Linked DNA regions of Diceros bicornis minor. The protein of the gene in region 1 purifies or fractionates together with the protein of each later gene. This does not show direct contact. Links are inferred from orthologs where the notes say so. Each region holds a gene or a part of one and is shown on either strand. Other genes may lie near its edges.

Region 1 (7,668 bases):
CCTCATGAACATAGATGCAAAAATCCTTAGCAAAAATTTAGCAAGTTGAATCCAGCAATATAGAAAAATGAAAACACTTCATGACAAAGTGTGGTTTCTGCCCAGAATGCAAGGTTGGTTTAATATTCTAAAATCAATCGATGTAATTCAGCATATTAACGGACTAAAGAGGAAACCATATGATCATATCAAAAGATACAGAAAAAGCATTTGGCAAAATCCAACACCCACTCATGATTTAAAAAAAAATGAAACAAAAACAAAACAAACTCTTAGCCAACTAGGAATAAAAGGAACTTCTTTAACCTGATAAAGGGCATCTGTGAAAAACATACAGCTAACATCCTACTTCACTGTGAAAGACTGAATGTTTTCCTCCTAAGTCTGGGAACAAGTCAAGAATGTCTGCTTTCACCAGTATTTTCTCCCCCACTAAACTTTTTATCTTGAAATTATTTTAAACCACCTAGAAGTATAGTGTTGCTATGTTCCCTTCACACAGCTTTCTCCAGTGGTAACACCTTATGTTACCATAGCACAATTATACAGCCCAGGAAACTGGCATTGCTGTCATCACTTTTATTCACCAACCATCTTATTGGAGGTCCCAGAGAGTGCAATTAGGCAAGAAAGAGGAAAGTCATAAAGATTGGAAAAGAAAGAGTAAAACTATCTTTGTTTGCTAATGGCAAGACCAACTAGGTAGAAAAGCCTCAGAAATCTTCAAAAATAACTGTTAGAACTAACAGTTGAGTTTAACAAAGCTGCAGGATACACAGTCCACATATAGAGATTAATTTTATTTCTATATAGCTGCAGTGAACAATTGGAAATGGAAATTTTTAAATACAGTGTCATTTACAGTAGCACCAAAAAACGTGAAATAGATATAAATCTAACAAAACGTGAAAGATCTGTATGCTGAAACTACAAAACACTGATGAAAGAAATTAAAGGAGACTCAAGTGAAACAATATACTGTCTTCACAGATGGGAAGACTCAATTTTGAGAAAGAAAAACAAAGTTGAAGGACTTATACTATCTGACTCCAAGAGTTAATATAAGGCTATAAGTAATCAAAACTGTAATATTGGCATAAGAAACATAGACATATAAATCAATGAAACAGAAGAGGGTCCAGAAACAGACCCATATGTATGTGGTCAGTTGATTTTTGACAAAGGTACCAGGGCTATTCAGTGGGAAACAGATTGTCTCCATAAGTGGTGTTGAGACAAGTCTAATCTGTATGGAAATAAATGATTGAAACCCTTATCTCCCATCATACACAAAGTTAACTCAGAATAGATCATAGACCTAAATGTAAGAGCTGAAACGACGAAACTCCTAGAAGATGACGACATAGGAGAAAATCTTTGTTAGGCAAAGATTTCTTAGATATGACACCAAAAGAATAATAAATTGATCTTTAACCAAATTCAAAACGTTTGCTCTTCAGAACACAAAACAAAACAAAATTTGCAAATCATATATCTGCTAAAGGACTTGTATCGGGATATATAAAGAACTTATACAACTCAGTAATAAGATAAACAACCCAATTTAAAATGTGCATAAGATTTAAATAGACGCTTCACCAAAGAGGATGTACGAATGACAAATAAGCATATGAAAAGATGCTCAACATCAGTAGTCATTAAAACCACAATGAGATTCCACTATATACCCACTAGAATGGATAAAATTAAAAAGCTGGCAATCCCAAGCATTGGTGAGGATTTAGAGTCACTGGAAGGGTGATAAAATTGCTAGTAGGAATGCAAAATGGTTCAGCCACTTTGGAAAACAGGTTGACATTTTCTTAAACAGTTAAATCTACATCTACCATATGACCCAGTAATCCTATCTATAGGTATTTACACACAAAAAATAAAAACTTACGTTCACGTAAAGACTTGTGTGACTTGTCTCCAAATGTTCCTAACAGCTTTATTCATAATAATCAAAAACTGGGAACGACCCAAATGTCCGCCAATGCATAAATGCGTAAACAAATTATAGTCTTTCCATACAGTGGACTACTACTCAGCAAAAAAATGAACCAATTACTGATATTCACAGTGATGGAATGAATCTCAAAAGCTTACAAAAGATTACATACAGTATGTTTCCCTTTTTATGAAATTCTAGAATAGGGAAAGCTGCATGGCAATAAGCAGATCGGTGGTTGCCAGGGTCGGGGCTGGTGGAGGGGACTGACTGCAAAGAGACGGAAGAGAACATTTGGGGATGATGAAAATGTTCTGTATATTATGATGGTCATGGTTACCATCTGTATACATTTATCAAAACTCATTAAATTGATGCATTTTACTGTGTGTAAATTATATTTCAAGCCAATTAAAAAAAAGAGAGAGAGAAGTGTGTGGGTTTGAATCCCAGCTCTCTCCCTTCCAGCTGTGTGACTTTGGGCAGATTTCACCTCTCTGTGCCTCTGTTTTCTCATCTATAAAAGGGGTTAATAAGAGCAGCAACTTCCCATAGTGGTTGGGAGTATTAAATGGGTCAGTTCATGTCACAGGTTTAGAATAGTGCCTGGCTGCATCAATATTAGCATTATAGGTAATGTTCCTGTATTCTGCAGGGGAGGTTGAGTAGAGGCACAAAAAATATCTTGTAAACCAGCTAAGAGTTCTGTCTCTGAAAGCCCCCAGCACTCTCCCTGCCACGTCTTGGCAGTGGCTTCCAGATTACAGCAGCATCGTCCACACTGTCACAGTTGGGCCCAATTGTTTGCAGTGTCCGGGACTTTCCCAGTCTCTCTATCAGAACTGAGCCCCTCCTCTCTGGAGCAGATCATTTCAAGCTCCCGTTCCACGTTCCCTTTATGGGAACCTAAGGCTGGAACAGCCTTGAGAGCCTGGGGAGCAGATACTGTGCTGTGATGCTGTGCTGAGGCCTCCATCTTACATTTTATTTGCCTGGACCTGAAGGACTTTCCAGGACTCTTGGCTAAAGATTCAGCAACTTGAGTTTTTAAACATTTCCACCACCACCTGCCAAAGGACTTCCTCTGCATTCCAGGCCTTGACTGGCCACTTATTTGAGATAAAATCAACGGAGACCATAAGAAGTGACAATGCTGGAGTTCCTGTGTCAGCGAGAACTGAGGCTCTTGATCTGGATGGGATTTTAAAACTCACTCCAGTGTCTTGTTTTGCCAGTTCTATTTCTAGCTGCCTCGCCCCCTGCATCTTTAGTTTCTTTGGAGGGGACTAGATGAACTGTGGAGTCCCCCAAAACCTCACTTCTTGGGCAAATATTCATTGAATGTTTGACCTGGGCGCTCGCCCTCTTGGACTGCAGGCTGCCAGTGTGTCTCACCCGGTGGTTCTCAGCCCTGGCTGCACGTTGGAGCCACCTGGAAGGCTTTTAAATGCCAATGTCTGTCCCCACCCAGAGGTTGTGACTTAATGGGTCTGGGCACTGGGAGTTTGTAAAACTTCTGGATGATTCTCACATGCAGACCAGGTCGACAGCCACTGGGTTAGAGAGACCTGGGGACATTACAAAGGGATAACCCTCGTCCAGAACCTTGGGATGCCAGTGACAGAAACAGAGGGCGTTGATTGCCTCATTTAACTGTGAAGCCCCAGGCTTGACCTTGGCTTCAGGCCAGCTGGACCCAGGAACCTAGTTTCCTCCATCTCGCAGCTCTGCCCCACCTGCTGCCTCAGCTGGGCTTTCCTCGGGCACAGGCTGGGGCACACGGCACAGTAGCTCCAGGCCACATGCCCCCATGGGGTCGCTCTCCATGAGTGTGAGGCCGACTCTCGCTGGGCTGGCTGGGATCACGGCCTGTCCCTGACACCATTGTGTGGCCAAGGGGCCCACAGGGCTCTGATCAGCCAGGCCCTGGTCAGATCCCAGGGCAGCCTGGGGCCCTCAGAACCACACGGTCTGGGAGTGAGAGAGGAGGGCTTCTCCAAGGAAAAATCGAGGTGCTGGCTTTCTGCTGGAGGACAGAGAATGGGGGTGAGGTGGGTAGAACAATTTATGTCCACTCCAGAGGTTCTGTCTCCTGCCCCACTGGGGGTGAGACGCCGGGAGAATGACCATTATTGGGGTGGGTGGCATACTCTGGGGATGTTGTCTCATGTCTCAGGGTCTCCCTCCCCCATTAAGGGGGACGACACTGTGCAGCTTCGCGGGGTGTGGCCCTTTCTGTGAGGTCAGGCATGTCAGGTGCTTAGAGTAGGGTGGACTTGGGAATGAGTGGCCACTCCAGCGCTGTCCACCCTGTGGCAATGTGTGAGACCAGGAAACAGATCGGAGCATATACTAAGACCCCTCGGTCACTGGATGCAGACCCGGCCTGTCTGTGCCCACCCTCTGCTCTTCTTGCTGTCCCCTGCTTCCCCACCCCTCCCCTCCCCTCCCCGATGCCAGCCCCTGGCGCTGGTCCAGCTTGGAAGAGGGTTTAAATTCAAATGTGGCTGTCAGCTGTCGTGCTCTGGTTATCGAGTCAGCCGGACGGCTGCCTTGGGCTGCTGCCATCCCCGACACCCACAGTCAGGGATGAGAGGAAGGAGGGGGGCGCCAGGGAGCCTTGTCAGCAGCCAGCCCCAGGAGAAATCTGTCACGTGGTTTCTGAAAATCGAAACTAGAATCAGTTTTCTGAAGCATTTCCTGAAGGGACCAGCCTGACCACGCTCTGCACTGGGAGGGTTTTCTGGGTTGAAGGACAGTCTGCAGAGGGCTCCTGCAGCAGGAGGTGGGAGGCCCAGGACCACCATGAGCAGTTGCCTCTGGCAGGTAAGCTCAGGCCTCTTGCTCTCTCTACACAGCATCATCTAGTGGGGGCCAAGTCTCCCTGTTTGCACCACCCAGCTGGGGATCTGGTGCTCCTCCTGAGCCCAGGGACCATCATTGCTTCTCCCAGATCTGTAGGGCCTCTGTGTACAGTTGTGCAGGTTGTTCACTGCAAAGGGACACCAGCCAAAGGGGCAAAAAGTCTTGGAATTCAGCCCACGGCCCTCTCACCTGTCTGTGCATTCTGGCCCAGGCCTCCCTTCACCCGAAGGAAGAGCCCCTTTTTCTAATTGGCACAAAGGCACCGTATGGGTCAAGGGCAGCCCCATCCAACTTCCCATATGAGGGAGTCAGGCAATAACAGGTGGCCCCTGCCATCCCAAGGGCAGCGACATTTGCATGCCGTGCACCAGGTATCTGATTGGCCATCTTCCAGGACCCTGAGTTCCTGTCCCAGGACAAACAAACCCGGTGGCAGCGGCTCTCCAGGGAGTGTAGAGGTTGACCAACCATCCTGGTTTGCCTGGGACTGACAGCATGTCCCAGGACGCAGGACTTCCAGTGCTAAAACCGGCACAGTCCCTGGCACACTGGATGGTGGTCACCCTGGCCCCTCCAGCCATCTGCTGAGCTCAATGCAATGCAGGCCCCAACCTGCGCTTACCAGCTGTGTGATGCGGAGCCAGTTACCTCTCTGGGCTTCAGCTCCTTCACTTGTCAGGTAGGGTTAACAAGGCCTTTCTCAGGGGTCGTGGTAAGGGTTCCCTGAGCTGGTGCGTGTGAGCAGCCCTGGCACAGGGGATGCCCATTCAAGGCCAGTTAACAGATCAGTGTGCCTAGGAGCCCAGGGGTCTTGTTAATGCAGAACTAGGGTGCTGCTTCAAGGTGACCAGCCCTGACTTGTAGGGACTCTCACAACAGCGGCCTCATCCCCCACTTGCTGGACCTCGGGGGGTGGGGACGGTCACAGGATTCTTACTGAGCCAGAGAAACAATGACTGGCTCTTCCAGGTCCGGGATACGGGGGGAGGGAGGCAGGTGAGGGGCAGGGTGGGAATGAAGAGGAAGAGCAAGCAGCAAGAGTTACAGAGAGGCGAGGACTCCAGGCAAAACCTGGGAGACCTGGGTTCCCCCACACCAGATGGCTGTGTGGCCTTGGTGGCCCCAGCCTCTTCAAGCTTCTGTTTCTTGGGGACACTGACCTCACAGGTGGCAGCGCCAGGTCCACACCGAGCCCACTCAGCATTTCCTCCCCATCCTGGTCCCGGTAGCCCCAGTCTAGCCCCCACCCCCCCAACCAGCTGCACAGAGACTCAGCACTCAGCTCTGACCTCTCTCCCCCCCACCCCCACTGAACCCCCCCCACCAAGCCTGACATCTCTCACTGCTGCCTGTCCTTCTGTCGCTCCTGGCCTGGGTTACTGTGGCCTCCTCCTGATGTGTCCCCCTGCTCTGCTCTCACTCCCCTCCCTTCCAGGGCTCACATGGTCCAGAACTCCAGAATGTTCTTTATCTGCTGCAGACCTTGGGCACTCCCCCAGGGGTCCGTTGCCTGAAGATACGGCTTAGCAAGGCTCACCAGGCCTCTCCTCATCTGGGCCCTGCACACTCCCATCTCCTCCCTCTCCATCCTCCTCACCGTCACCACTGACAGCCACACCCAGGGCCTTGTTTTCTGAGATGGGCTCCTGTTTCCACTGTCCTCACTGCTCGAGACACCCCCTGCTCGCCCCCTTCATCTGGGCAAGTCTTACTCGTTCTTGGAGGACCACCCTTCAGATGAGGTGAGGGACTCCCACTGGGGTGCCCAGAGCAGCGGGCATTCCTCATACTCACGGCTCTGCGGGAGCAGGGACCGCGCCCACCAGCTGTCCTCCACAAGTAGGGTCTGAAGGATGGATGGACAGACTGGGCCTGGTCCTGAGGGCTGTCCAGCTCCACTGTCTCACTCTGCCGCCTCTTGCTGCAGGACGAGGGGCTCCCAGGCAAGGCCATGGCCCTCCCACAGCTCCTCTGGATGTGGCTGCTGGTCACAGGGACTCAAGGTGAGCCGAGCCCTGGGGAATGCCAGAAGCAACAGTTGGAGAAGCCCCTGCTCCCTAGCTCTACGGGGTTGACCCTCTCCTTGCAGAAAGTCTAGGCAATGTGCTGTCCAGTGCCTGGGTCACCGGGACCAGCCTGGGTCTTCTCTCCTGCTTGACCCTAGTTGTCCCGAGTCATGGTGGATTGTGTCTTGGAGGTGGATACCAAGTGCTTCTCCATTCCACCTAGTGGGAACCAGAGGGACGCAGTAGGAGGGGCACATTGGACAAGCCAAATGCTGGGGGTCATGAGGTCAGTGCCCTTTGGACACAGTCAGCCTTCCAGACTCCTAGACATCTGTCCTCCTGCTCTTTACACCTCAAGGCCCAGGAGCCCCTTCCTCATCCTAGTGACCCCACAAGTGGCCTGCTGCACCCCTAACTGGGAATTGCCCTTTGACATGGCACCCAGCTCTTGCCTTACCCTGTCAGCACCGGGAGGGGCTGGCTGGGGATGTCAGTGAGCTGAGTCCTAGAAGAACGAATATGGGGCCAGGACCCCACTTTCTCTCTGTGCCTGTGTTTCTGGGGGTCCCTGGGCCTGCTGCCCCCCGGCATTCCCCCAGACACCTCCCAGCAATCCTTGCTGTGGTGCACAGGCTGCCCCCCCAGGCCCAGACACCCTCAGGTGGGATCAGCATGGGCCCCTTCCCCCTCCCCACTCTTCCCTGGGGTCCTGCACCCCTACTCTCAGTGCTGTGCACCAAGCATCCCTTCTGCCCCTTTTCTATCAACGGAGCAAAGGGCTGAGACCTCGAAGACAAGACAAGGCAAGTTTACCTTCTATGTGTTGGTTGGGGGGGCTATGCACAT
Region 2 (7,185 bases), on another chromosome or scaffold:
GGATGGGGACAAGACCCTTCCATGCGACGCAACTCTTTGGAGTGCTCAGCCTGGTCTCAGAAAATCTGACGGGGGAGACGTGGCCGTGTGCTTAGGGATCAGGGTTCTTTGAGGAGCTGTGGAGCTAAGGGTCCTGATCTCTGACCTCTGACCCCGGCTGGCTGTCACAGCGTCCTTTACTTCTCCTGGCACCGCTACGAACACGGGCGCTTCTGGCCCTGTCTGCGCGAATCAGATGCAGATGCTGTCGGGCAGGGGCAGGGCCGCGGCTTCACTGTCAACCTGCCCTGGAACCAGGTGCCTGCCCCTCCCCCAGCCCACCTCCCCTGCCCCACAGCTCCGGGCCTCCTGAGTGGAGCCCAGGCATCCTGCCAGGGTCACCCCCAGAGGCCAGGCCCCAGGGGTGAAGACCCCACATCCCCCTGGCGAGGCCCAACACTGACACCCTGTGGCCGCAGGTTGGGATGGGAAATGCTGACTACGTGGCTGCCTTCCTGCACGTGCTGCTCCCCCTGGCCTTTGAGGTGACTGCGTGGGGCGTTGGGGTGGTCTCGATGGCAGGAGGGTGAGATGGGGTATTCGGTGCCCAGAGTCCTGTCAACTCCATCAGAGTGGAACAAAGCCCAGGTGGGTGGGGAGGGTCTCTCTGGAGGGGCCTCCTCTGTCCCTGCTCCAGCCTCTTTCCTGCTCCTCTCCACCGGCCCTGCCCACAGTTTGACCCTGAGCTGGTGCTAGTCGCAGCAGGATTTGACTCAGCGGTTGGGGATCCCGAGGTGAGGGCCTAGCCTGGCTGGGGAGGGCTCCTGGGGTCCCGGGCCAGGCCCCCTTCACAGTGGCTCTGATTCCAGGGGCAGATGCAGGCCACGCCAGAGTGCTTTGCCCACCTCACGCAGCTGCTGCAGGTGCTGGCTGGCGGCCGGGTCTGTGCCGTGCTGGAGGTGACTGCGGCGAGCAGGGAGGGTGCACGGGCCAGAGGCTGAGGAGCAGTCAGAGGGGGTCTGCTGCATGGGTATGGCGTCCTGCCTGGGATGGCAACATCCTGCCCCAATGACCCCCTTCCCCAGTCACATCTCTGCCCTCCTCCACCTTCCAGGGTGGCTACCACCTGGAGTCGCTCTCTCAGTCGGTGTGCATGATGGTACAGGCACTGCTGGGTGACCCTGTCCCACCCCTGTCAGGGTGCATGGAGCCGCATCGCAGGTGCGAGGGGCAGGAGGGTGGGAAGGGCTGGGGGCATGAGGCCAGGCCTCACTACTCCTGCCTGTCCCTGCAGCGCCCTGGAGTCCATCCAGAGTGTCCGGGCAGCCCAGGCTCCTCACTGGATGAGCCTCCAGGAGCAAGGTCATTGTGGCCTGGGCTGGGAGGTGGGATCACACCTCGGGCTCCCAGTAAGCGGCAGTAACTCTGAACCACCTCTAGATGTGGCCCCTGTACTGAGTCCCAGCACCGGCTCCCCAGAGGGGAGGCTCTCACCTCTGTTGCCTGGCGGGCCCGAATTCAAGGCAGCAGCGGCCCAGGCCGTGGCTGCATTGAGCTCCCTCCTGGACCAGCTGCGCCTCCACCCCACGCCCTCCGTCCGCACAGCTGTTGCCCTGACTGCGCTGGATGCAGCACTGCTCCTGCCCCCTGATGTCCTCCATCAGGAGGGGTCAGCCCCGCAGGAGGAGACGCAGGTCTGGGCCAGGTGGGCAGAGTGGGCCTGGGGAGAGGGGTGAGGCTGTGTCCACCCATATGCCTGTGTGTGACTCACCTGTGGTCTATGTGTCACCCTATGTCCATGTGTCCCTCTGGTTTGCCCACCACAGGCCACATGAGGCCTTGGCCCAGGACAAGGCCCTCACTGCACTCGGGAAGGTCCTGTATCTCTTGGATGGGATCCTGGATGGGCAGGTGGGGGCACCTGGGAGGGGCGGGGGTGGCTGTGGAGCCAGGGGCAGGGCCCAGGACCTACCCGTGATGGGTGGCCTGTCCAGGGGAGGACTGGGTGGTGCAGAACCACGACACGAGTGTGGCCTTGTGCCCAGGACCCCTCCTAGAATAGCCCCCAGGGACGGGGTTCTTGAGCACCCCTCCTCAGTTCCCTCAACTAAATACTCTTTGGCAGAACGGTGAAGGGGGTGACTTAAGGTGTGGTTTTAAACATCTTATTTTCAAAAGTAGAACAATTTGACTTCAGTGTATACAGATGACAGCCACGTGGACAAGGGCCAAAGAAGGGATGTTCGGGTCTGTTTACCTTTTTGGGAATTGCCCTCCACTGCTGTTATTCACTCCACAGGTGAGCAGCGGCATCGCAGCCACCCCGGCCCCTGCTGCAGCTGCCACCCTGGATGTGGCCATTCGGTGTGGCCTGTCTCATGGAGCCCAGAGGTGAGCCTCACCTGGCCAGCCTGAGCCTCTGAGGGAATGGCCCAAGGGCATCTCCTGCCCTGGCTAGCCACATGGGGAGGGCTCTGGGAATGGACTCCAGGAGGGGTGAGTGCAGCCTGTCCTGGGGCCGACTCTTCCTCTAGGCTGCTCTGTGTGGCTGTGGGACAGCTGGATCGGCCCCTAGACCTTGCCGATGATGGGTATGACTCCTGGGTCATGTGTATGTCCAATCCTGCCTGTGAGTGGGCACATGACCCTGGGGCCCCAGGCGTGATGGGTGGGGGGAGTCTTCTACAGCTAGAATTTGGTAGAGGGGCCCTTGGGAGCAATGCCAGGAGAGTCTCCACTATAGAGGGTCAGCAGTCCTAGCACCTGTCCCCCCCAAGCTCTCTACCTCCCCTTCTGAAGTCTGGGTTCTGGAGGGTGAGCAGCGTCTCACACACATGCACACGTGTCCATGTGCTCACTCTCCCCTGGAAGAAGGAATCTATGGCTGAATATCAGGGGCAAGGAGGCAGCTGCCCTGTCCATGTTCCACGTCTCCATGCCACTACCAGAGGTGAGTGGTGATGTCACAGGGCAGGGCAGCTGCTGCTTACTGGAATCGTCATGAGGGCCAGGCCCCTGGCTTCCTTCCTGGCTTCCTGATGGGACTGCTGGTGTAGTTGCCCACCAAAGATTGGGAGGTGGGGTGGCCTGAGCTGGCAGGAGGGGTATCCCCTGAATGAGGGGCTGGGGCCATGCTCCTGTCCCTCCCACAGACAACTGGTGGGTTCCTGAGCTGTGTCCTAGCCCTGGTGCTGCCCCTGGCCTATGGCTTCCAGCCTGACCTGGTGCTGGTGGCACTGGGGCCAGCCCATGGCCTGCAGAACCCCCAAGCTGCACTCCTGGCTGCACTGCTGCGGGGACCAGCAGGGGGCCGAGTGTTGGTACTGGTGGAGGAGGTGAGTTGGGCAGAGGGGACATGCTGGGGGGTTAGGGTTAGGGTTAGGAGGTCGGGAGAGACCAGTGACTCTCTGCTTCCACCTCTGCCCCTGGCCCAGGAATCCACACCCCAGCTTGCAGGGGTCCTGGTCCGGGTGCTCCGTGGAGAGGCCCCCCCCAGCCTGGGCCCCTTCTCCAGGGCCTCCCCAGAGGACATGCAGGCCCTGGAGCACCTGAGAGGGCAGCTGGGGCCGCAGTGGAAAATGCTGCAGGTGGCCGGTGAGGCTACGGGGCAAGGCTCAGGCTGGATGCTTGGGGCCTTGGGGACATCCTGCTTTAGAGCTCTGCGGGGAGACTGCCCCTTGGGTAGTGGGGTGCTGCCCGGAACCGCTCACGGCAGTGCCAGGGGACCCTCCACCTCTTCCCAGCTCCTCCTCCAGTGCTGTGACCTGGGAGCTTGGCGTCGGCCGGGGTGGAAGTCTTTACACCCCGGGACGGACACCACCACCTGGCCCCCAGGGCCGGTTAACCGTCACCGGCACGGCTCGCCCGCGGCCGTGTCCCGACCGGCCCTGCGTCCACTCGGCGCCCCCGCCGCCCTGCGCGGACGGCCCGCCCTGCCCCCCACGCCCCGGCAATAAATAGTTAGGCAAAAGCCTGACTCCGTCTGCTTGGTTCAGCCCGCGCCGGCCTCAGTTTCCCCGCCGCGGGTCCGAGACTCCCAGCCGGAAGCGCTCCCTGGACGGCAGCTCCACTCCTGCCCCTCCGCGCCCCGCCGGCTCCCCGGTGACGCAGTTCCGGCGCGCCGGCTCCGACGGTCTGGCCGGTCGCGTCGCGGTGACGCGACGGCGGCGGCAGGAGCGGGAGCGCGCTCTTCCCGGGAGGCTGTGAGCGGGGCTCGTGCGCCTGACCCCGCGGACCCTGCCGGCCGCCCCCACTGCCCCTTGGGCGGCGCCTGCTTCGCCGTCCCTCCCGGGGACACGGGAAGGCCGCGGAGCCGCACGTGTGCCGTGTGCGCCCACGCTAGCGTGTCCTCGGGCTCGTCCCGCGCCGGGATCCTGCGGCTTGAGGGCCCGGACCGGGGGACCGCGCCGAGCCGGGCTCTGCGGCCGCAGGGCAGGGGGCGCCGAGCGGCACGAGGTGCCCGGAGCCGAGAGGGTGGGCATGGCCAGCATCACCCAGCTGTTCGACGACCTGTGCGAGGCCCTCCTGCCGGTCGCGAAGGCTCGCTTGGGCCAGCGCGGCGTGAGCCGAAGGAGGGCGAAGCAGAGCCTCAAGAGGGTGGCCTACAACGCTCTCTTCACCAGTCTGTTTCAAGATGAGACGCAGAGGCTGCAGCCTGACCCCTCAAAACTCCCGGTGAAAAACAAGATCCTCATGCTGTCCTTCGACTTGAGGGTGGGTGGCCTGGGCCCCGAGGCTGACCGTTTGGAGGAGCTGGTGGAGGAGCTGGAAGCAGGCCCTTGCTGTCCGCTTGCGGAGGTGGGCTCTGTTTTGGACCTCCTGGTTCAGCTGGCAGGGAGTGGCCCCCCGCGAGTGCTGCCGCGAAAGCGGGACTACTTCTTTAACAACAAGTACGTTGGGAGAAACGTTCCCTACAGCGGCTACGACTGCTACGACCTGAGTGTGTTTGAGATGGACGTTCAGTCTCTGATCTCCAGAGAGGAGTATCTATGTCAGGACATGATCCACAAAGCGCTTCAGGTGATGGAGGCGGCGCCGGGCACTGGCCTGCCCACTGTTGGGCTCTTCTCGTATGGTGACCCTTGTGGTGACAGGTTTGAGAGAGACACCCGGGTCTCGCTGTTCGGTGCCCTTGTGCACAGCCGTACATACGACATGGATGTCCGCCTGGACCTGCCCCCGGTGCCAGACAGCGCAGACCTCTCTGGACTGGCTATTAAGGTAGAGTGATGCTTTCCCGCCTCTGGCTCCTCAGGCGTTTGGAAATGCCTCCTTTGACCTTCCTTTGGTCATGGTAAAGGTAGGATAGCTCTCAAGCCACTTGTGGCTGAGCTGTGGGGAGGCAGGGCTGCTGGAATGCGCCTTCCTGGGTGGCGACGCTGCTGCCAACCTGCACACCAAGACAGCAGGCTGCTTTTCATCTTTCGTCTATCACGGCGTATTTAGTCACTTACTCTGCCCTCTAGAGTTGACTTTTGTTTTTGTTTTTTTTTTATAATTTTATTTATTTATTTATTTTTCCCCCAAAGCCCCAGTAGATAGTTGTATGTCACAGCTGCACATCCTTCCAGGTGCTGTATGTGGGACGCGGCCTCAGCATGGCTGGAGAAGCGGTGCGGCAGTGCGCGCCCGGGGTCCGAACCCCGGGCGGCCAGCAGCCGAGCGCGCGCACTTAACCGCTAAGCCACGGGGCCGGCCCTAGAGTTGACTTTTGAATTTAAGTTAATTAAAATGAAATAAAGTTTAGTTCCTCAGTCACATAAGTCACATTTCAAGTGCTCAGTAGCCACATGTGGCAAAAAATATTTGTTCATTCTCTACATGCAGTTTTATATACTTTTTTTCACCTATAAATGGGATTTTGCCTGCATTATTAAATAAATCATGATTGGCTTTTGTATTTTGTGGCTTTATAAATGTTGCTGGAAGGATGCGCTGTTATTAGTCGTTCCCTTACTATGAGATATTTAGTTATTTCCAAACATAAATAATGCTATAGCGAACATCTTGGTGTGTATAAATTTTTGTGTGTCTAGTATGATTTTTTTGTGTGTGCTGTATTCCCCAAAGTGGAATTTCCAGATTGGAGGCATTTCAGGAAAAATTTCATTGTAAGTTATATTGAGGGTTATGTGTTGTGTGAAATTGGAAATCGATAACCTTAATAAATTAATTTGTTTAACTTCTTAAACGATTCAGTGGGGGCAAAAACATTGTGTAGTACATACCTGCTTGAGAAAAATAGAAACGTTCTACAAGGTCTTTCCTGTAAGGAGTAAACACGTGTGTGGAAAAGTCCTGGAATTCTGATCACACTTGGGGGACATTTAGACTCAGGCATACGTGCTATTTCCTTCTTTCCCATGGTCTCCAGGTTCCTCAGAGTGTGGATCAGTCAGAAGATGAAGGGTTCCAGTCAGCATCCAATTTAACTCCCGATTCCCAGTCTGAACCAGGCATGACTCCAGACATCGACCTGTGGGACGCTGTGCTCACCTACGAGGCCAGCAAGCGGAGGTGCTGGGAGCAAGTTGGATGGTACGGGAGCCTCTGCTTTTCAGTACACTGCCCTTCCCCCCACGTGGAACAGTGCCTTTTCTCAGAGAGCCCAGGCGGTTGTTTCTAGAACAGCTGTGAAGGGGCTAGGAACTTGGAAGTTTCAGTCAAGCTAGTGTACAAAATGGTCTGTGTCCTGGGTGTCGAGAGAAACGCAGAGGGGAAAGGACTTCCAGGCTTTTTGGGGGCTCCCGCTATGCCAGTGACTTCTGCAAACCACACTTGCCATCAGAGCGGTCAGTTGGCAACTGAGTTACGTTCTTGCCCTGAGGGCTCCCGGTCAGGGGTCTGAGGGCGGTCTGGCAGGCTGTGTGATCAGTGCCAGGCTCAGGGTGCTGACGGAGCCTTCATACTGCTGTATGCATCTAGAAGGATTGAGAGTGGCGCTCTCCAGCTGACGAGAGGCTCCAGTCATGGCTGTTTCCCTGATGGTGCCGGCAGCTCGCTCCCTGGGCTCGTCCGGCCCACAGGCCTCTGCACTCAGGACCTCCCAGAGTCTGTGATGTGCTGCTGTCTCTTGAAACCTCCAGAATGGGGATAGAGGACACATGACATACGTTTCCAGGTGTTTGGTCATGGGACCCCTTTGTCACAGCCCACCTGCTGGCAGTTCTGTGGAACACCAGTTTGGGGAGCAGTGAATGAAAGAAC

What was found. Proteins that work in one complex are often made in the same cells at the same time.
Region 2: the proteins of LGALS3BP (region 1) and TUBGCP6 purify together in Homo sapiens (co-immunoprecipitation; 4 studies listed by BioGRID and IntAct, counting the BioPlex papers as one, with this or other methods). This does not show direct contact. The link is inferred for Diceros bicornis minor from reciprocal best matches to the Homo sapiens genes LGALS3BP and TUBGCP6.

Annotation. Positions count from the first base shown.
Region 1 is NC_080757.1:58,722,620-58,730,287, reverse strand, and holds the start of LGALS3BP (galectin-3-binding protein), read left to right. Parts: upstream 1-4,653; 5' UTR 4,654-4,756; coding exon 4,757-4,777; intron 4,778-6,743; coding exon 6,744-6,819; intron 6,820-7,668.
Region 2 is NC_080764.1:562,719-569,903, forward strand, and holds the start of TUBGCP6 (gamma-tubulin complex component 6), read left to right. Parts: upstream 1-4,180; 5' UTR 4,181-4,458; coding exon 4,459-5,199; intron 5,200-6,352; coding exon 6,353-6,516; intron 6,517-7,185. Other genes in the region: polyamine deacetylase HDAC10, read left to right, coding at 171-297, 459-524, 714-773, 849-938, 1,094-1,200, 1,274-1,684, 1,806-1,890, 2,279-2,370 and 4 more. UniProt on the Homo sapiens protein: Component of the gamma-tubulin ring complex (gTuRC) which mediates microtubule nucleation.